Lonchura striata: one gene and its partner. The protein of the gene in region 1 interacts with the protein of each later gene in a pairwise test. Links are inferred from orthologs where the notes say so. Each region holds a gene or a part of one and is shown in the gene's direction. Other genes may lie near its edges. The genes, in order: RTN1 and UGCG.

What was found.
Region 2: the proteins of RTN1 (region 1) and UGCG interact in a two-hybrid assay, tested with the Homo sapiens proteins (2 studies listed by BioGRID and IntAct). The link is inferred for Lonchura striata from reciprocal best matches to the Homo sapiens genes RTN1 and UGCG.

Annotation. Positions count from the first base shown.
Region 1 is NC_134608.1:5,408,881-5,420,128, reverse strand, and holds the start of RTN1 (reticulon-1), read left to right. Parts: upstream 1-6,107; 5' UTR 6,108-6,122; coding exon 6,123-6,312; intron 6,313-11,248. UniProt on the Homo sapiens protein: Inhibits amyloid precursor protein processing, probably by blocking BACE1 activity.
Region 2 is NC_134642.1:61,620,719-61,631,298, forward strand, and holds the start of UGCG (ceramide glucosyltransferase), read left to right. Parts: upstream 1-6,214; 5' UTR 6,215-6,227; coding exon 6,228-6,325; intron 6,326-10,580. UniProt on the Homo sapiens protein: Participates in the initial step of the glucosylceramide-based glycosphingolipid/GSL synthetic pathway at the cytosolic surface of the Golgi.

The DNA of each region.
Region 1 (11,248 bases):
ACAATTGCTTAAGGTATCTCTGGGCACAAAACATTGTTTTTACCAAGCATGTGTTCCCTTTTGTAGCACTTTTCTCAATATTTTCATATTGCAGCAGTTCTGGATCCCAGGAATGGAGGTTGTGCCTCTCAGTTACATTAAAAGGAACAATCTCTTGTGGGTTTTGGAAGGGATTGTGGGTTTTATCTCCAGAGGTCGAGTCTCTGGTACCCTCTGTGCCATGGCAAATTATAAATGAAAACCATTTGAGTCTCCTCCAGCTCACAAGCCGTAATCTTCAGTATCCATGGGTTTCTGGAGATGTGCAAATGGTGCATAATCAACGCTCAAAGCCTGATAAAGGCATGGATCAGCATAAATCAGGACTCAGAAGCCAACCCCTAATGGACTTGCTGAGGAGCTGTGTAATGTACAGAGCACTCTGTGCACAAATACCTTCTGATGTAATGCAAGGGAATGAGAATGCATTAAAAAATCTGATTCTGCATCTCTGGCTGTACCTCTCATGTACCAGCATAACTGTCCTATGATTGACACAATTCTGGCCAGACCTGTGTCTCCCTTTTTTCAGCTTCTCCCTAAGCAAATTTGTGGATATTTTTATTGTAATTATCTTTTTGTTTGCTTTCACTGTTTAACCAGTATCAAACCATTGCCCACATAGACTTCTGGGATGATCTGCTCCGGGCTCACATGGACTGTCTTGTCTCATGCTTTCCTTTCAGCTGGATCATTAACAGTGCAATTAAATAGCACCAGACCCAGTGGTGTCAGTCTGAACATTTTCCTCAGTGGTGACTGGCCTCTGAAACTGCTCTGCCAGGACTCAGAGAAGGAAGTCCTGCTCCATGCAGCTGGGAATGTCTACAGGACAAATTCTAATGTTTCTTCTTGTAGTATCCTTGGGCTGGGCTCCCAGGAGGAGCTCTGTAAAAGGAGGAAAAGATTATTGTTCTGAAGATGCTCCTAAGCAGCACTTGCAGTGGCATGCAGAGATCCTGCTGCCACATGGAGGATGCAAATATCCTCAGATATTGCATGGATTCAGATTCAGACTGCTGGGCCAGCCCCCTCCAGGACAAGGAGCCACTTCAGCAGATGTTGTGTGCTCTAGAGGGGAGTGCAGAGCCTTTCAGACATTGGGGGAGAAATCCAGCTGCCAAGCCCTGCTGAAACAAGGCCAGTGCTGCATGTATTTTGTATATCCCACCTACTCACCTGTCTGCTCTGCTCAGCTCTGTCTCTGCAAAGAGCTTGAAGCTGGGGAGGAGGGAGAACTGGCCATGTTTAGCAGAAGCCTGGGAGGTTTCCTCCTCTCTGACCCCTGCCAGCACCCACCCCACAGCTGTGCCAGGTCACAGGTTTGATAATTTTGCTCTTTGAGCTCCTGATTTCCTTGCAGAGCCATCTTTGCAGAGAAACAGAGGCAATCCCCAGCACTCCTAGAGCAGCTGTGGATGCGCAGGGGATGAAGGATGGAGCAGTCAGTCAGGCTTACCCGGGGAAAGCACCACCTTTAATCACATTGCATTACAACTGGAGGGCTGGAGAAGCTGAAAGCTCTTGTATGATGTGGGAATTAAAGGGCCAGGCAGGGTCTCTGTGCTCTGCTGTGATGCACCCAGCAAACCTCAGAGCAGTGAAAGGAGGTTAAATTACACAGCATGCAGTAAAAATGCTGCTATTTAGACTCTGGTATTTTTGAAATTGCACTTTCTAAAGGTCCAAGGTGAACCAGTCTCCCCATTTTAGTGCATATGGTAAGAGTGGGACTATCCAGATCATTTTAGAGAGCTGCAGTTTTGGACTCAGTACCTGTCTCATCTCTGAAGTTGTTCTCTGCAAAGGGAAGCACTCCCTACACAGCTGTTTGTCTGGGAAAGCTGGAAAGCTGCCATCACACCTGCACCTTCTGCCTTTCCTGGCCTTGGCCCATTTTCCTGGCACTGGGATGCTTGTTCCTGCAGAACAGAGCTGGTCTAAGACCCACAGGCTGGTGCAGACACTCCAAATCCCAAAGCAGTCTGGAACAGGAGCCCGTGGTGGGGCTGTGGGGAAGGTGGGGAGGTGGATGATGCCTTGGAGCTCAGGAGTTTGGGGTGCCTAAGTTCAGAAAAACCTGAAACACTGCCACTATTGTGGGGAGGAAAAGATGAAAAGGACCTTGGAGAAGCTGCCTGGCCCTGCTTCATTGCCAGAGCTTGTGGAGAAGGAGAGGGAGAAGGTGGAAGACCAAAGACCCAAAGGGCTCCCTGGGAAGGATCTGTGTGGACTGAAAGATGATGAAGGGCTCTGCTGTGGGGAGAGCCACCAGCACCCACAGGTCACCTTTTCTCTCAGGCCTTTTGCCTCTCTGCAGTGACAGTTTTGAGTGGTTTGGTTTGCCCAGGAGGAGCTGTATTCTCACCAGCTTTCCAGACTCTCTTTGGGTGTTCCAACACCTCTCTATGCCTTGTAAGGTGGGTGTGTGCCAGTGTAACCCCACAGCACTGGGGCTGCTGGGCTCCCCACCTGTCTGTGTCCAAATGGGATCTGATTGCAGGCTGGGGAAGGGGATTCCTGCCTGCAGGCCAGCCCAGTGCTGTCACACACTGCCAGAGGTTTGTCTGTGTGAGGGTGAGGATGTGAGACACATGGGAAGCAAGGTGGGCTGCAGTGCAGATGTGGAGAACTGAAAAAGAGTCTGGTATCTGCTTCAGTGTTGAAATATTTTCTGTGAGGTAGGGGAGGTTGTTTTACTTATCTTCATTTTCCTATTTATGTGAAAAGCTGCCTTTTTTTTTTTTTTTTTTTTTTTTTTTCCTTTTTCCTGTTGCAATTAATTTATTCTGAAATCTTGAGAATAAATCCTTAAGGAAGAAGAGATGATTTTTTTTTCCATTGCTGAATCTCTTGATATACCCTGCCAGGTCCTGGGCTCTTTGCTGTTAATTTTACATCTGAGACCACAAATTCCCTGAAGGTTCAAAGTCACTTTGTCCCAGCATCATGCAGCATCCCCAGAACACAAAGGGCTATAATGGAAAGAGAAGCAATTTGTGTGTCTGTGTTCTCAGACTTCATACATTCAGAGGTTTATAATGTCCAAAGGGTAGATCAAGGTAATTAAATACCAATAAGCAGAGATAGATGAGCCCTGTGCAGGTCAGTTTGCTACACAATACGATACAAACTACCAGGAGCTTTTGTAAATGCATTGAAAATAGAAAGAATTCGTTTTTGTTCCTTGTGCCACTAACAAACTCACACCTCTCTTAAATAGGTATTAGATTAAATCTTCATCCAGCCTGATTTTCCTGTGGGGAACTTAAAAAACCCCTGTAAATTAACTTCATGCAGGACAGCCCAGGTTGTTCCAAGTTCAAAGTTTTCTCTACAGCATGAAAAATGGACTAATCAAGATTTTTGAGTATTGTCTTGTTGCTCCTGTTGTTTTTTTTTTTTTTTTTTTTTTTTTTTTTCTCACTCCTCCTGGCAAACCAAAGCTTTGCTATCAGAAATGTATGTATCACATCTGTGTGGTCAGTAGGAGCTCAGGGTTTGAATCCAAGGTTTGAAATAAGACTTCTGGTTTTCTCTTGCAATATTACATGGTGATGAGCAGAGTTGATTGTATGGTGAAATAAAATCCTGGGTTGCCTTACAATTGGGATTCCTGAAGCAAAAAAAGAAAAAAAAAATTAAACTATATTTATTTATATACAATTGTAGACTCATTACAGTTGGAAAAGACCTCCAAGACCTTCAAGCCTAACATTTGACCAACCAACTCCCTGTTACTAAACCATGGAGTGCCACCTTCAGACATTGCTTGAACATCTCCAGGCATGGTGACTCCTCTCCAGCCCCTTCCAATCCTTGGCAACCCTTTCCTTGGAGAAGTTGTTCCTGATGTCCAACCTGAACCTCTCCTGGTACAACTTGTGGCCATTTCTTCTTGTCCTGTCCCTGTTCCCTGGAGCAGAGCCCGACCCCCACCTGGCTGCTCCATCCTTCTGTCAGGAGTTGTGCAGAGCCAGAAGGTCCCTCCTGAGCCTCCTTTTCTCCAAGCTGAGCCCCTCCTGTTCCCTCAGCTGCTCCTCATCAGACTTGTGCTCCAGGCTCTTCCCCAGCTCCCTTCCCTCCTCTGCAGCCCCTCAAAGTCTTTCTTGCCATGAGAGGCTCAAAACTCATCACAGGATTTGAGATGCAGCCTCCCCAGTGCCCAGCACAGAGGGACAATCACTTCCCTGGTCCTGCTGCCACATTTTTTTATACAGGCCAGGATGCCATTGACCTTCTTGACCACCTGGGCACTCTGCTGACTCCTGCTTGTCCCCATTTCTACTCAGTAAGCAGAGCACACAGTCCACACTCTTTCTTCTCAGCCTTTTACTGTAGTAACACTGTCTGTGCTCATGGCAGCAGCCTGACATCTCGATAACCCCTTTGGTGTGTGGGAATGAATCACTCCCAGTGGCCGTGTGCACCCATTCTATTAATCTATTAATCAGGTAAACCCTGATGGTATGGGACGGGATTTGCCATTACAGCCATGATGACTAAAATCATTGCTGCTGATCTGCAGCAAACATGTCCTGTCTTGAAATAAAGAAATATAGAAAATCATATGAACCTGGGCATGTTCTTGGCTGTGAGGCTGGTGATGCCCTGGCCCTGGCCCCCCTGCCCACAGCATCTGTGGCAGTGTTCCAGGCCAGCTTGGATTGGGCTTGGAGCAACCTGGGATAATGGAAAGGTGTCCCTACCCATGGCAGGGGGTGGAACTGGATGGTCTTTGGTCTCTTAGGTTCCTTCTATCCCAAACCATTCTAGGATTCTCAGGCAGCAGCAGAATGGAGTGAGGATAAGGGTGACAATTCCCTGAGAAGATAGCACAAATGAGAATCATCAAGGCTACTTTCAAAGCTTTTCATCTTGTATTGTGGCCTTACCCTGGATTTCCTCCCCCCTTGTCTGGAAAAAAGAGGAAACATGTCCAATTTTCAAACCCAAGCATAAAGGTTGCTGTAGGCTGCCTAGGGCTGCTGGGACATACAGATCACAGCTGAGATCCACTCCTGCAACAGGCAGAGAGCCTGTGGGAATGAAATCTTCTGGCTGGGGCAATTATGCTCCACTTTGCAGCTTGACCTGTCGCATGACAAGAGAGAGGCCCTTCTGCAAGGCAGGGAATTTATTTCCTTGATCTGTCTGTGCCAGAACTCTGTGCAATGCAGGAATGATCCCATACCCGTTACCTGAATCCATTTGCTCCTCTGTAAAAGGACAGCAAGGAAACTTGTTCCTTGTTCACCTGAGAAGTAGCACAGATTCTGTGAAAGCACCGACTCTGCTGTGTGCTTTCCCCTTTGCTGTATCTCACGCTGCTGCTCTCCCTGACAGCAAAAATCTCTTGACATTTCTCATCGCCCCGGTACACACACATGATTTTGTGAGGCAGTAAGCAAGCAAATATAACGGCACAAAAAAAAGGGGGAGAAGAAAAAAAAAAAAAAAAGGCACACAGACACCTGCTGCGAGTTTATTTTGACAAGTGCCAATAAGCTGCAAACAGAGAGGAACGAACCGGATAAACAAACGCAGCGCGGCTTCTCTTGCTGGGTTAGGGGCTGGCGGAGATGGGGGGAACGGGCTGATTTTGGGGTTTTAGGGCTTGCTGAGAGCTCCGTGCCCTGCCGGCCGAGCCCGGCGCTGCGGGAGGAGCCGTGCCCGGCTGCGGCGCCTGCGGGATGCTCAGGAGCGCAGGGATGCGGAGGAGGGGGGCTGCGGGAGGGGAGAGGGAGGCGTGTGCCTGCCTGCCTGCCGGGGGGCATTTCTTCCCTTACCCGCACAAGCCGATGCCCACCCTGCTGAAGCAGTTAAACGGGGGAGAGCAGCAGCCCGGCTGGCAGATCCCTGCCCTGTGATATGCCAGCCACAGGGTGACGCAAGGGCTGGAAGGCTCCGGCTAACGAGCCATTTTCACCTGCGTAACAAGCGCCGGTGGAGATCCAGCGGCGGCGGCGGCTCCCGGTCCCCGCAGCCGGCCAGACCCCAGCGCGGCCGCAGCTCCAGCCCAGCCCGGCGGCCACCGCAGCCCTTCCGCTGGCCCCCGCTGCGCCCGAGAGCCGGAGGTCAGCATGTCAGCCCCGCCGGACCCCCAGGACCTGCTGCTGGCCGGCACTGGGCTGCACTGGGCTGCGGACCGGCCGGACCAGTACGCGGCCGGGGCTCCGCTGCGGGATGGAGACGGGGCTGAGCAGCGGGAGCAGCTGGGCTTCGGCTCCGCCAGGGAACACCCGCCCGTTTCCATGGCGACTGCATCCCCAGGTAAAAGGCGAGGGGTACCCAGGGATGCTCAACAAAGGGGGCCCTGGCAGCGGCGTCTCCCGGTTGTCTCCTTCCTGACGCTGCCTCTGTTTTCCTCCCAGCCTGGCTGCTTGGAAACATTGCTAGCGAGTTAGTGAGCGCGTGTAGGGAAACAGAAAATAACGAGGAATTGCGGCCTTTGCAAGTAGTTATTTTTTGCTGATGTGGGGGAGGGGGGACGCAGGAGACAGCCAAGTTCCCTAAAGCTCTTTGCAGTTTGTTAGGCACAAGACAAGCAGATTTCAGGCAAATGTTGAAAGGCATTTGATTTCACCTGAGCTGATGTGGATCTGTCATCATTTGTCATACACCTGTTCACATCTGGAGTGACAGATCTCGATGGACTTACTTCAGCTATCCCCCGTGAACCTGGAATTCCTGCATGGTCACTTATTATTTCAACACGCAGCTTTTAATGGAGTGCCTATTCTGAAGTGTTTGTACATTTTGTGCATGCTTTTGGGACTTGTTCATTTATTTGTGGACTTCTTGCTTGCTGTGTTTTCCACCTTTGGAGCACTGAGGTGTGTTCGACTTCAGGTGCATTCAGTTTAGGGTCTGCAGGTTCATTGATTTTCAGTTTATTTTGGGGATGTGTTCAATTTCCCTTGGTTTGGGGTTGCATTCTTTAGTAGATGTATTAATAGCAGGTGTACAGCTGTTAATGAACCCCAGGAGGCTTCAGCTCTCCATAGCTTCTGGTAGAAATGTTTTGGGGAAAATTATTCTATTTCATTCTTGGGGACAAATCCCTACTTTCTTTCCCACTGTCAGAGAACCCAAACAGCCAGAAGCCCCAGCCCTGGGGGAGCTGATACATCCCATCTCACTGGGAAGTAGATGTTTCCATTACAGATCCTGAAGCATTAAACTTGTCTTGAGTAAGCTGAGGGTCAGGGCTCGGGACAGGAATCGATCTCTGTTATGCAATAGCTGCAGGAGCATTAGGAACTGCGTTTTTGGGCTGAGTCCCTTCTAATCCCCTCCAGTCAATCAGCACAAAATTTAGCTGGCTCTGCTCATACCCACACGGGTGGTTTCGTGGGGTCTGGGTGTGCGTCGGTGCCCGTGGTGCTCCCGACATGGATGTTCCCCTGTCTGCTGGATGTGACCGAGCTCAGGGGTAGAAGGATCTAACACCCCTCAGCTGATGTGGGAAATGTTTTGCTGTTTTGTAGCTCTGGGCAGGCAGCTGATCTGCTGATGTGCTGCTCATTCGCTGAGCTGAGTGTCGGGGTGTGAAACGTGACTTTTACTGGAGGCAGGGGCAGAGGGCTGGGGATGTCAGGCTCTGGGAGTGTGTGTGAAGAGGGGCAGGATTGTGGTCACCAGGTAGGGCTGCCTCAACCATATAATGACACGAAGAAGAGGGGAAAGGAATCTTGTGAGCTTTTTATTTTTTTTGTTCACTGATGGATAAAAATACGGCCATGCTGAATCTTAGCATACAGAACAAAGAGGGGTGGTCTCTTAAACTGTGTAAATCACTATTAAATGGAAACACTGTGAAACTGCTTGCAATTAATGGAGGCTTCTTCAGGCTTGACATGGCTGTAGATTTACACTTGGAGAATGCAGAATAGAGAGACAGAAAGAAAAGAAAAAGGAGAAAGAAAAGAGAAAAAAAGGAAAGAAAGACAAAAAAAGAAAAAGATGAAAAGAATTTTTTAGCTTTTGGAGTCCTCTGCAAAGGGGTTTTAGATGTGTTTGCTTGTGTCAAACTGTGACAGGGTGGAGGCAAAGTGAGTGATACAGATATTTCTTTGGTGTTTGCTGGCTGTGGACTCCCAGACTGTCAAATCAGCAGTACTGTAAGAGTAGTAGCGTGCTTTAAACGTTTCCCATTTTGTTTTCCCTGTTCAATAAAGAGCAGTTGTGTGGCTGTGTGCGTGTCTGGCCGACCATGGCAGACAGAGCAGCATCCCAGGCAGTGCAGCCCTGCAGTCTCCCTCTGTTTGTGGCTGCAGCAGCTGTATTTCTGTTCCACACTACCTAGAGAGCCACGACTCCCGCCCCCTTCACCGGGGGAACTAAATAATTTCCTTGTTCTCTCTGTGTGACTAAGTATTCATAAGTTTCTGAATAAGAAGACTGTCATATTGTTGAATATCTGAAACTGTCAAGCTTTTTCTGAGAACTCTTTATTTCTCCTGCTCAGAGAGAGATTCCTGCCTATTCCTAAGCCATAGGAATGGACCCAGCAGGAGATGCACAGCTCCAGCTTTTTTACAACACTGCCATAATCTGCCATAAACTCAAACCCTCCTGACACAATGGGCTATCTGGGGACAAGGAGCAATCCATCCAACCAAACAAGAGTGAATTGGACAGAATAATTTTCAGGTAGTTTCCCCAGCACATCCTGTATCTTCCTCCACACCTGTCAGACCGGTCTTTTTTTTTTTTTTTTTTTTTTGGTGAAAACCATGGTTATGCTTTCTGAGGCAAGAGCAGGGTCTGGAGTCTGGGAGATTCTCTCAGCATAAAAATAACTGAAAGCAAATGGGGGTAGTTTATCACAGGTTGTGCAGATATTTTCTTATACAACCTAAAAATTTGCAAACTTTCCCCGATCTTGGCTTTTGTTTTAAGTTTGAAAACCAGCCAGGGATTGTTGAAAGGTTCAGGAATATTTTCAAGCTGGCCTTGGGCCCAGCTTTGAGCCAAGCTGGCTTTGTGTCAAAACCTGGTGAGTGGTTTCTGAATGATGAAAAGCAATGGATTTCACTCCCCATTCTTTGGATCAACCAAAATCAGCAGTGATTGAGACTGCAGAAAAAAATTCCCACGAGGAGTGGAAAGCTCAGAGATTTCTCAAGCAAAGTCAGGGCAACAGGAAGCTGCAGATCCCACATCAGCCTCTCCTCTTGCAGGCCTCCAATGAAGATCAACTCCAGTAGCTTCTGATCAGGGATAAGGCTGTTTCTCTTGTTTCATTTCTTGGCCCTTGAATTTTGCTGAAAATATCTCTCTTCCTCAAATACCTCAAAGTTTTCCTCCTTCCCAAAAACGAATTTGGTTCAGGGTGAGAGGACCTTGCAGGCACGTCTTGCAAGGACTGGTGAGGGAAGTGGTCCTTAAGGGCTGGTGAGGAATTACATGTTGGTGAAGAGAGCCCCATGTCACCCAACACACCATCTGGTCACAGATTCTGTTATTTTATTTTTATGCACCAACAGTGATTAAAATCCCTTGAGAGGAATTATTTCCAAAAATATTACACAGGCTGACAGGCGTTCCCCAGGATAAATACATATGGTTTCCTCCAGAGAAATGGCAAAATGGTACAATGGACTGTACCTCCATGCTGGACGTGTTCTGCAGGGAAAAATAGCAGGGAAAAGCCAGGAACTCACACAAATGGTGATTCCTGTGTAAGGATCTGGGAAATTTCATGCAGCCTGGTGCATGGGTGGCTATCTGCAGGGTGATACATTAGTGGTGTTATGCCCCTGAGGTTAGAGAGCTGCCAGCTCACGTTCACTCCAGGCAGTCAGACAGGCCACAGCAGTCAGGACATCCCTGGAAATCCTGGCCCATTTCCAGCTGCCTCCAAAGTCAGGTCCAGCTGCCCACAGGAGAGGAGGCCAGTGCCACAGGGGATGGCATGAATAACTGGGACATGGCTATGGGGGCATGATGGGATGGGGAATATGGCCTGTGGGAACCCTTCTGGAACAGCATCCAGGGGGTGGCTGGGATCTCCTGGGGCGCCTCAGTGGCGTGGAAGCCCTGGGAGTAACAGCACCCATTTGGTGTGTGCCAGGGAGGGACTCAAAGCTGCTCGGGTGCAGCAGATGAGTTGGGGAACAGCCTCTGCCTGCTGGGGAGCAGTGGGAGACCAAACTCCAGGAGTGTTTAATGCTCTAATAGGGGCAGATATAAGACAGAAGACTGTGAGGGGTTTTAGCTCCCATTGCTCCATGATGAGGACAATCTGTAATGCCAGTGCTTTAAGTAAAGACCTTTTCAAAACCCCTTTCTAATTCACATGATTTGTAGAGGCTGGGTTTGAAGCTGTGTGCTGTGTACCCACATGTTCTCAGCATGAGCTTACCCACCAACCCAATCCCCTGCAGTGAGGTGCTCCTGCCATAAGCCTCAATTCCACTGATAATGCTGCACCAGTGAATCTCAGTTCATGGTTTCTCTCCAGTTGCTGGCAGCTTTGCACCTCGGCATGAAAGAGATTTCTGATGGTTTTCAGGCAGGTTGAGAACCCCGTGGTTCACCTGGCTGGAGAGAAGTAGGCATGGACATGAATGTCTGCACTGCTTGGGTTGGGCACTGACACTTGGGGTGTCAGATCATGGACAAAGGCAGCAGATTCCCCAAGACAACTGGCTCTTTGTGGCCTTCCCACCCCTTCCCAGGTGTTGCTCTAGGAATATTCCCTCTCCCCAAAAATCCATAGCAATGTGCTGCTCTAAGCCACCACACTGGAAAGGCTAAGGCACAAACCTTAATTTTTTAAGTTGCTGTAGAAAGGTCTTGGTGGATTCACTGACCTAAACATGACACAAGGGAGCATCAGCAGGTGTTTGGAAATGTGTCCTGAACTGCCAGGCAATCCTGCTCAGATTGAACCACCTGGGGCCAGATTTAGTCTTGCTTTGGAAGAATATATATTGATGTCAATACTATTATCAACACTTTAGTCTTTTCAGATTTAGAGAATTGAATTTAGTTTTTCTCTGCTGTCTGGATTAGCCACTCACAACTTCTGATCTACTGCTGTGAGTGAAGGGGACAGAGATCATTTGGTGGAGGTTCTCCCCATTCCCTGGTGTTTTGTTAGTGCAAACAGATTTTGCAGAGGGACAGAAACAAAGAGGATTTCTTATTGGATCTTTCTGTTCTTGTAATCCTCATGAAGCATGAAAAAGTAGCCTAAACC
Region 2 (10,580 bases), on another chromosome or scaffold:
AACTACAGGCTGATTGGCCTCACCTCAATCCCTGGGAAGGTGATGGGTCAACTATCCTGGAAACCATTTCTAAACAAACAAAGAACAATAAAGTGTTTGGGAGTAGTTGACATGGACTTACACAGTGGGAATCAACCTTCTGTGTAGGCCTCTATGACCAGATGACTAGTTTTTTGAATAAGGGGGTGTAACTGGAAGTCGTGAATCTGAACTTCAAGAAGGCTTTAACCACCGTCTCCCACAATATCTTCCTAGACAAAATTACAAGGAATAAACCAGATAAGGATGTGGTGGAATAAACTGAAAACTGGCTTGGGCAGCCAGGCTCCAAGCCTTGTGATCAGTGGCAAGAACTCCAGCTGGAAGCCAGTCACTATTGAAATGCATCAAGTGTCAATAGAGGGGCCAGTACTGTTTGAACCCTCAGAAAGTTTGCAAATGATACAAAACTGGAAGGTGTGGCTGATAACATACATGCATGGATTGAAATTCAGTGGGATTTTGACAGTCTGGATGACTGATTGACAGGCTGACAAAAACTACATGGAATTAATGTAGAATTCTAGGAAGAACATTACAAGTTCTGCATCTGGGGAGGAACAACCCAAGGCAGCAGTACACACTGAGGGCAAACTCTCTGGAAGGCAGCTTTGCAGAGAAGGACCTGGGGTGCTGGTGGACACAAAGTTGACCATAAGCAGCAATGCACCCTTTAGACAAAGAAGGCCAACATTATCCTGGCTTTCATTGTTATGTGCATTGCCACTGCATGTAGCAGCATGGAAATAGACTAGCTGAGGGTCACAAAGATGACAGATACTGAAGCATCTGACATATGAGGAGTGACAGAAGTGTCAGGATTGTTCAACTTGCAGAAGGCCCTGGGGGAATGTTACCAATGTGCACAAATACCTAGTTGGGTGGAGTAATGAAGATGGAGATGACTCCAAACTCAGCAAATTACTTTCAATGACCCTGTTCAAGCAGTAAGTTGGAATAAATTATCTCCAGAGGTCTATTCCAAACCAAATTATTCTGTGACTCTGCAAAATTATTTACCTTGGTCATCTAGATGTAAATATTCTCCAAGTATTCCACAATTTAATGCTGAGTGCATAAGCCTAATTATTGCCAACAGCAATATTTGGGAGGTTTATAGGTTAATCAGCCTGGATCGACTTGTCAAGGAAAATACATGTACCTGAAACATCTGAGTTCTTTTTTAAATACTGCTTTCCTGTTCTATTACAAAATTATTTCTGAAGATCAAAAGTACTGAGGCTTTATTCCTTTCAGATTTGTACTTGGAGGTTTCACTGCAACCTGTAGCTTTAACTTTTTCAACCTTTGGGCATAAGAGCTCTGGTCTCTGATTTTTCTGGTGTTCAATTTTTTTGAGACACAATAACAGACAAGATAAAGTCTGTGTTAAGGGCTAACTAGAACTGCATTTGTTAAGCCTCACAAGCCACTTCACACATGCAGGTCAGATTGCTTGCTACTGCCAAACAAAGAGGACACTGGTGGAACTGTCTCTTTTTTGGTCTCTCTCCTGCCCCTGCTAGACAGGCTTTTATATGTGCAAGTGCTCTAGGACTTAAATGTAAGTTCTGAACTCAGACATGGAGGCTAACAAGCAATTGCATAGATTTCTGTATCAAATCCAACTAATAAGTGTGAACTTTATTAATAACGTAAACATTTAAGAGGAAGATGCAAGGCGGAGTATTTATATAGTAACAAAAATGCATAGCTGTAATACACACATTTCTTTGATTTAATTAAAATGAACAAAAGTGGATTTTTAACAAAAGAAGACAGACATCTCAGAGTTTAAATTACTATAACCAAGTTTTGAAGACACACAATCCTTACCAATGCATGCTCTCTTTATAATGAAATATTTTCCAAAGCATTTTCAGAGTGTAGATGCATTAATGGATCTAATCATTAAGCAAAGAGAAAACTTCCACTGTCTCTCCCCATATTTTATATTTTCATAAGGAAAATTACACATAAGCAAGAGAAAGCAAATTTATTCTTGCCCTCTATTTGCTCAGAACTTCAGTGATGCCATTCTAAACAGAAACAGTAATAGTAAAGTGAACTGGGAAAAACATACTTGGAAACACTAATACAAATTCTGAAATAGCAATTCAGCACATTTTAAATACAATTTTAACTGAAATCCAGGTGACAAACTGTCTTGTCATTTGAGGATGGAGACTTAGATCAATTTTCTGTCTCCAAAGCTTATGTAAGCAATGGTTTTCAACAGAAACTGATGGTTGAGAAGAAAACTGGGAGGTCTGTATAGGGTTAAAACCTTTCATAGGTATACCAGTAAGAGAAATATCAGTGGTTTTTGTTTCCACAGCCTTCTCAGCATTAATACCGGTATCACTACAGATTAATCCACTATTGTTCCTTTGTTAAATAATTATATTTATCCCTTTTTATCAGTTCAAAATTACACGAGTGTTTCTATTGCATAATTTTTGCTGTTGGAACAAGTCTCATATCTAGGTCACCTCAGGCCTTTATGATGAAGATTTGTATTAATTAAATATTTTTCAACCTACAACAAACTACACTCAAACATTGTTAAAATTAATCAATATTTTGGCAAAATGATGAGTGAACCAAGAACAGCAGCTTTATAGCACATGGGAGGGCTAATTTTGTTTTTAATTTAAACATAGCACACATTTGCATTAAGTCCCAAGCACTTGATTAAAACACCAGGGTGTATCCTGCCCCAAGGCATAATGAGGTACGTTTCAGTAGGCAGATTTGCCCTGCTTGAAGAACACTTCTCTTTGTGAATTGTTGCACTCCACACTTACAGAGGGAAGACCAAGTGTACATCCCATACTACTGAACTGTCACAACTCCAGGCAGTCCCATGCTTTAGGCACCCTTTACTCTTTGCTCCCCTACTAATCTTAATATACCTGCTGAAAGAATCCATGTGGCAGCAAATTTTACAAGAGAAGTTGCTCAGGTTGAAGGCTTTACCATCCCTGATTCTCCTCCATTACAATCCTGAAAGTATACTGAAGACTCTGGTTTTAAACCTTACACCAACGTGAAAATTGAGTGCTGCAACTTTTTACCTTAAATACCTCATGAGAGAGTTCTTTCTCCTCATATAACCAGAGGGCAGAATGACATCCCAGAGAGGATGACATAAAGGTGGATCCTTTTCTGGACAAAGTTATTTGTACTAGCTTGGTGTTTCCCCGTGGAACACTGCTTGAGGACGGCTCATTCATCAGTATGGCTGGCTGAAGTACAGGAGTCAGTACCTCTATTCATCTTATTTATGAAGAAGCCTCAGCAAAGTTTGTTTGCAAGGAGTCATTGACCCTACCTATTGCACAATAAGCAGCATCTCAATCTAATCTTGCAGGCAAACATCTTCGAGCACAAAAAAATAAGCTTTACTGCTTCAGTTTAATAAACTCAGATTATTTGCTTTACTGATTACTGGCAGCAGGCCCTCTATCTTCCTGAATTCCCTGTACTGTCATATTTTAAACCAAGATACTCTTTTGCATAGGCTGTTTCTGCCTTAGAAGAGAGATGCAAGCAAGATGGAGGTAAAGGTCATATGAGCTATATTCCAACAATTAATACGTATCAGCTCTGAATTCTCTAACTCAACTATTTTGAGTCTTGTGACTGTGCCAACATTGAGCATGGCAATTTAAATCACAGCTAAAAAATTCCTATAAAGCTCATTGAGGCAATCTTAAATCAATATAAATGTGATCATTAGACTCTAAATGAAGGAACAAATAGAAAAAATACCTGCCACTTTCAGTTACAAATGACATACAAACACAATAGGGGAATTTGAAAATTAAGGTAATTTGTTTTACTTGAAAAGTTATTTTTAAGGAAGTTATAATAAGAAATCACTGAAGCCAGTGAAAAGGCATGTTGCTGGCCCCATGATTTATTTATGTGGAAACTAACATTAACCAGGAACTAACAGATTATACAGGCAGTATTCACACTAGAATGGACTGATACCTCACCTGTTATTACCAGTTATTAGTAGCTTTTCGCTTTTAGTTTTAAATTATTAATTTGGTCAATTCCACACCAGGTGAGATACCTTTTTAAGTTGCCTTTAAATTACTATATCTTAACTTCTGACATACAGCTAGAGCTAACTTGAAACCAAATTCTTTCTACAGCTATTGTGGTGACTAGGATACTTTTCAAAACCACAACTGAGTTCTAGCAGAATTTAGGAACACTCCTGTACCTACATTAGTAAGAGAGAGCAGTGGAGGAATAAAACTAACAACTATTAGAGAACATGCATACACTGCAATATTCAGCTTGTGTTATTGGTGAAGACTACTGAGAAAAAGTATGCCTTCTTATGTACAGGTAAACATAGTCTTTTATGTAAAGCTATGCTTATTCTGGCAAGTTCAGTATAGTCAAGGCACAGCCAGTCAAGTCATTTTGTCCTCTCACTGCATACCCCAGTTTAATGGAGTTTAATTTAAAACAGTTAATACAATGCATGTTTGCCTATTACACAATAAGAAAAAAAAAAAAAAAAAAAGATAAACTGATATTTCTGACCCCAGATCAAAAATGCTGAACTGTAAAAGAAAGCAGAAGTGTTGGGAGGTTTCTGCCTATGAAACCCCTCAAAAATAAATGGAGCCACATGACAGTAATAGGAATTGCCATAAACACTGTAATGAAATAAAGGCAAGAATAGCTGGCTCAGAGGATTAGTAATGAGCAACTGACTCTTTCATTAACTGGACACTAACTCAAACGTAGCCAAAGCTGGTAGTCACCAGGTTGCTTTAGCACTGCTTGGGATCCACAGATGGCAGTATGAGTGTTGGAATTGCCCCAGTCCTTGGAGCAGATCTCTGACTCACAGAGTTCAGCGCTGCCGGCAACTCACAGATGCACACCTATGCTAGATATAGTACATCACCAAGAAAGTGTTCAGACTGAAAAGGAACAAAGAAAAACAACAAAGGCCATACAGCCTTTTATCAGCCCCCCTCACACTAGATCTCAGAACCAGAGAACAGTTAGTGTTGGAAGACACCTCTGGAGATCATCCCATCCACCACCCCTGCCAAGGCAGGGTCACCTAGAACAGGTGAACCAGGAACAAGTGCAGGTGAGTTTGGAATGTCTCGGGAGAAAGAGACTCCATGACCTCCTTGCATAGCCTGTCCGAGTGCTCTACCTGTGTAAAGAAGTACTTTCTCACGTTGAGAGGAACTTCTTGGTGGAACTTCTGATTTAGTTTATGGCCACTGTTCCCTGTCCTGTCGCTGGGCCTCGCCGAAAAGACTCTGGCACCTTGAGTCTTGGCACCTGATTTTGAGATATTTATATGTATTAATGAGATCCTCTCAGTGTTCTCTTTTCCAGACTGAACAGCTCCAGCTCCCACAGCCTCTCCTCAGAGATGCTCGGCGGCACCGGCAATATCCGTCTACCCCCGATCCCCTTCTCCGTGTATAAAGGACTGCGGTCTCCTCAGCGGCCAACACCAAAGTTGGACGATACAGAGCCAGCGCTCCTGCCGCGCCCGCACCCCTCCCGGCGGCCGGAGCGGGGCACACCCGCCCGCCGCCGCGGCGCGCACCTCCCTCGGCGGCCCGCGGGGGACGCGCCCAAGGTCAGGCGGCGGCGGCGGGCGGGGCCGGGCCGGTAACGGATGTGCCCGCCCGCCCCGCCCCCTGCGCTGACAGAAAGGCGGCGGCGGTCTCGGTGCGCGGGCGCTGCCGCGCGCAGGCCGGTGCGGAGCAGCAGCGGCGCCCCCGGAGCCGGCCCCGAGCCCCGCAGCAACCTCCGGCCCCGCACCCCGCAGCAACCTCCGGCCCCGAGCCCCGCAGCAACCTCCGGCCCCGCACCCCGCAGCAACCTCCGGCCCCGCACCCCGCAGCAACCTCCGGCCCCGAGCCCCGCAGCAACCTCCGGCCCCGAGCCCCGCTTCCCTCCTCCGGCCCCGCGCCCCGCTTCCCTCCTCCGGCCCCGCGCCCCGTTTCCCTCCTCCGGCCCCGCACCCCGTTTCCCTCCTCCGGCCCCGCACCCCGCAGCAACCTCCGGCCCCGCGCACCGCTTCCCTCCTCCGGCCCCGCGCCCCGCTTCCCTCCTCCGGCCCCGCGCCCCCGCAGCAACCTCGCTCCGCTCCACCGCCGGCTCCTGCCCGGGCCGCCGCGCCCCCGGGGATGGCGGTGCTGGCCCTGGCCTCGGAGGGGCTCGCCATCTTTGGGCTCATCCTCTTCGTCGTTCTCTGGCTCATGCACTTCATGTCCATCATCTACACGTAAGCGCTGGGGTGCGGGGGGATGGCGCCGGCGTTGTTCCGTCACCCACCCGCCATCGCTCCCGGGGCGGCCGGGCAGCGGGCCCCGTCCGCCGCGCCGCCTCCGCCCCGGGCCGGCGGCTCCCCTGCCCCGGGTGTCAGGCCGGGGACTCGCCTGCCTGCCTGCGATGTGGCTCCCGCAGACCCCGCCGGGACACCCGGGCGTCGGGCTGGCCGTGCTTAGGGCATGGCTGTGTCCCTGCCGTCGTCTTCGGGTAAAAACCGTCTGCTGGTTTTCTGCCTCCTGCTCTGTGCGGCGATCTTTGCTCCGTTGCCCTTGGTGCTGCTGGGGAAGGCTTGGTGTTTGTTGTGTAGTGATGTACACTTAACTTTACTGGTGGTGGTGAGAGAGCAGGGTGCACAGGACTTAGAAAAGGCATGATGTTTGACTGCAAAGGTGGAACAACTGAAAGAGCACAGTACTCTGTGCCAGCCATAAGCACACTTCTTTTTTTGTATTGAGAAATAACGATAGTACTAGTAAAACAAGTATATGTAGTGAGTCAGATCCTTCTTGGATAAGTCCAAGATAAAATGCCTTTAGAGTTGTGAGCAGTGTTTGCATTTTAGTGACTGATGAAACAGATAGAACCTGACAGAGGAATTTTCTATGGGTAAGTGGGGAAAGGATTAAGAATGCATCTCTTTTTAGATAGTTGTTTTGCTTTCTTAAGTAAAAGGCCATTCTTGCATCACTACTAGGATTAGAAAATACCTGAATTTCTGTTTGCTTTCCTTGTGCTTATCTGTTCTCCTTTCTTGCCGCTCTACTGCATATGATAGGTACCTGTGATAAACCTCAGCCCTGACTGAAACAAAGCTCGCAGAATGGGTCAGATTGGAAAGGATCATAGTGGATCATCTGGTCCAGTCATTCTTGTTAATCCTAAAGTGCAGACAGTTCTTGAATATCTCCGGTGAGGGAGAGTCCCCAAGCTCTCTGGGCAACCTGTTCCTGCTCAGTCACCTGTACAGTAAAAAAGTCCTTCCTCGTATTCAAGTGGAACTTCCTGTGTATCAGTTTCTGCCTTTTGTCCTATTGCTTGGCACCACTGAGAAGGGCCTGGATCCATCCTCTTGGCACTTTGCCTTCAGATACTCACAGACATTTATGGGGTCCCCTCTCAGTCATCTATTTTCAACATCTATTTTCCCTTAGCCTTTCCTCATATGAGGGATGCTCCAATCCCTTAATCATTTTCAGAGGTCTCTGCTGGATACTCTTTTTATTCCCTTTTACTTGGGACCCCAGAACTGGACACAGGATTCCAGGTGAGGAGCCAAGGCTGAGACAAGGGTCAGGGTTCATCTCCCTTGACCTGCTGGCGATGCTCTTCATAATACAGCCCAGGATACCACTGGCCTTCTTGGCCACCAGGACACTGCTGGCTCGTGGAGAGCTTGTTGCCCATCAGGACCCCCAACTCCTTCTCCACAGAGCTGCTTCCCAGCAGGTCACACCCAGGCTGTGCTGGTGCCTGGGGCTGTTCCTCCCCAGGTGCAGGATCCTGCATTTGCCTTTGCTGAATTTCAGAAGGTTCCTCTGTGCCCATCTCTCCAGGCTGTTGAGGTCCTTCTGAAGGACCTGGGGTCCATGGAGTATCAGCCACTGGGGTATCAGCCACTGCTCCCAGCTTTGTGTTGTCAGTGCAATTGCTGAGCAGGCCTCTGCCCCTTCATCCAAGTCATTGATGTATAAGTTAAACAAGACTGGGCCCACTAACACTTTAAAATTGAACCTATGAACACCTTCCTTTTTTTTCCTTTTTTTTTTTTTAGTGGTTTTGTTGTTGTGGTTTTTTCTGGGGGGGTGATTTGTTTTTTAAAATACAAAGTCACTAATAAGCTCTAAGAGTTTTATTTTCTTTTGCTATAGTTCAGTTATCCTTAGATCTTATATTCACTTGGATAATTAATTTCTCTCTTGAAAACTATCTGTATGGGTTACCTTGGACACAAATGGTGTGATTTCAGTACTGGGGGGGCAGAAAGTGTGCTTAGTGGGGGAAGAGACTACTTTGGGCATGGCTGATTTTGGTTGACTTTAGAGATGATTAAAACTATCTATCGCGTGCTTAAATCTCAACCTGCCAAGTGAGCATGTGTGGTGCTTTTATGAATAAGTGACCACTGAAATGGGCAGGAGACACAAATAGGGAAGATGTGCAAGAGGGTGAATAGGAGGCAGAATGATGAGATATGCTAAGAGATGTGAGAAGACAGAGCAGGGAAGAGCTAGAGGGAAGGGTACACTTCTGGGCAGTCAATGCCACAGGAGCTACCCCCTCAAAGGAACTGCCTCCTTTGGGGGCAGAACTGGAGCAGGGACACTCCTGAGTGCACTCTGGGCTTCAGGTAAGGTACTCCTGAATGGACTGTAACCTGTGGACAACCCGTGCTGGTGTAGAGACGCCCTGAGGGGCTGCAGCGCCATGGTTGACTCTCCCCTGAGGAAACTGCAGCCCATGGCAGGCCCATACTGGAGCACAGACTCTGCCAAAGGGATTGCAACCTGTACATCAGTCATTCCTGAACAGTTACACCTGCTAGAGCAGAGTAGCAGTTTAAGACACAACCAGTAGTGGAAGATGGAAGAAAATGAGTAAGAAGTAAGTCATGGCAGAAAAACCATTATGTGCTGACCCTTGCCTCCTGTGTCATCTTGCTGAAGGGCTGGGGAGGGACTGAGTGTAAGGAACCATGCAAATGAACAGTTCAGAGAGGAGGGTGAGGGGGAAATGTTTCTTACTGAAGCAGAGCCTGGAGAAGGAGGACAAAAGGTACTTCCCTGAAAGTTAGGTTGTCTTGTTTTCCTCAATACCCAAATTGATAATTAGTTGCCTGATGATTGCCAGTAGTTTAAATTGAATTGCCTGAGTTGAGGCAGTTTTGCCTGTGACAGTAATTGGTGGGGAATGCAGGCAGCAGCTGGACTAGGTATGGCCTGCATTCTAGAATATTTGCAGTGGTGTGAAATCTGGAAGGAATTGTGTTTTTTATTACAAGTGCATGTATAAATTGTGTGTTAACAGGTGGAAAACTTGTCCAAAAAATAGTTGTGGATGGAGTGGGTAAAAAGTGGGGTGATCTAATCTCAGCCTCTGAGGCCCCTGGTCTGCTTTCAGCAGGGCTCTGGAACTGCCATCTCAGTAGGGCCAGAGTCAGGAGCTGTCTTTGACAGAGTAATGGGCTGGTGGCAATGGGTGTATTTAGTAGTTGGTGCAAAACAGTGCCCCTCTGTTGGAGGTGAGCAGCTGGTAGCACTGAGGTGACCAAATTGCAAACTGTTCTGGGTTCACAAGCAGTTTTTGAGGAGCTGCCCTGGTTACAGTGATTCTGTACATCTGAGGAAAAAGGACCACAGCTCCCCATGGTGTGACCACACACTTGCCCTTTGAAGTGAAAATTTAGAAGTGGGGGACACCATCCCAAGCAACTGTCCTTGCAGCATCTGTGGTGGTGATGAGAAACAGTAGCTGATGGGATGTTGCTGATGGCTGGAGAGGGCACTGTGCTGGTGCATTTGGAGCCTGTGCCACTTGTTAGCATTGCCCTGTGTGAGGGGGGATGGCTGGGAGGTTGTCTGATGGAGTTGTACATGGAGGAATAGCTTGGTCCTGCAAGAAAGAAAGTTCTGTGAAGGGAAGGTGAAGGAGTTGATCAGTGGTATTTGCGTTAAATGCTGGAGCTTGTTTATGGGGAAAGGGCTCCAGATAAAAGATGATTGCTGGTGTTATGGCTGAAAATGCTGGTGGCTGGACACCGTTACTAGTGCCCTTCATCTCATAGAGACTAGTTTTATTCTGGATGGCAGACACTGCACCCTTTCTGAGACCCCTGAGGTAGGAAAGGATCTTCACATATGGACAGAAACTGCTTTTTATGTTGGAGAATGCAGTATTAGACTAGAACTAGATGATATTTGGCATCTACTGAATAACACATTGTTCCTATTATAGGCAGTAAAGGAGAAGGATGAAAGGAATTAGTCTTCCTGTTTTCTCCTTACAGACAGTATTGCTGGTTTAATTTTTCTGAAGTCATTGAGGTACTGCTTGTGCTCAATCTACACTGTGTCTAGCCATGCTGTATTGGTGAGTTGGAAGGTCCCCTCTGTGCCACTGGAGTATTAAGATAATATTGTAACGTGTCAGTAAAGCTGTTGTGGACTAGACAGTCATCCTTCTATTGTTTCCCATTGGTATTTAAGAAGTTT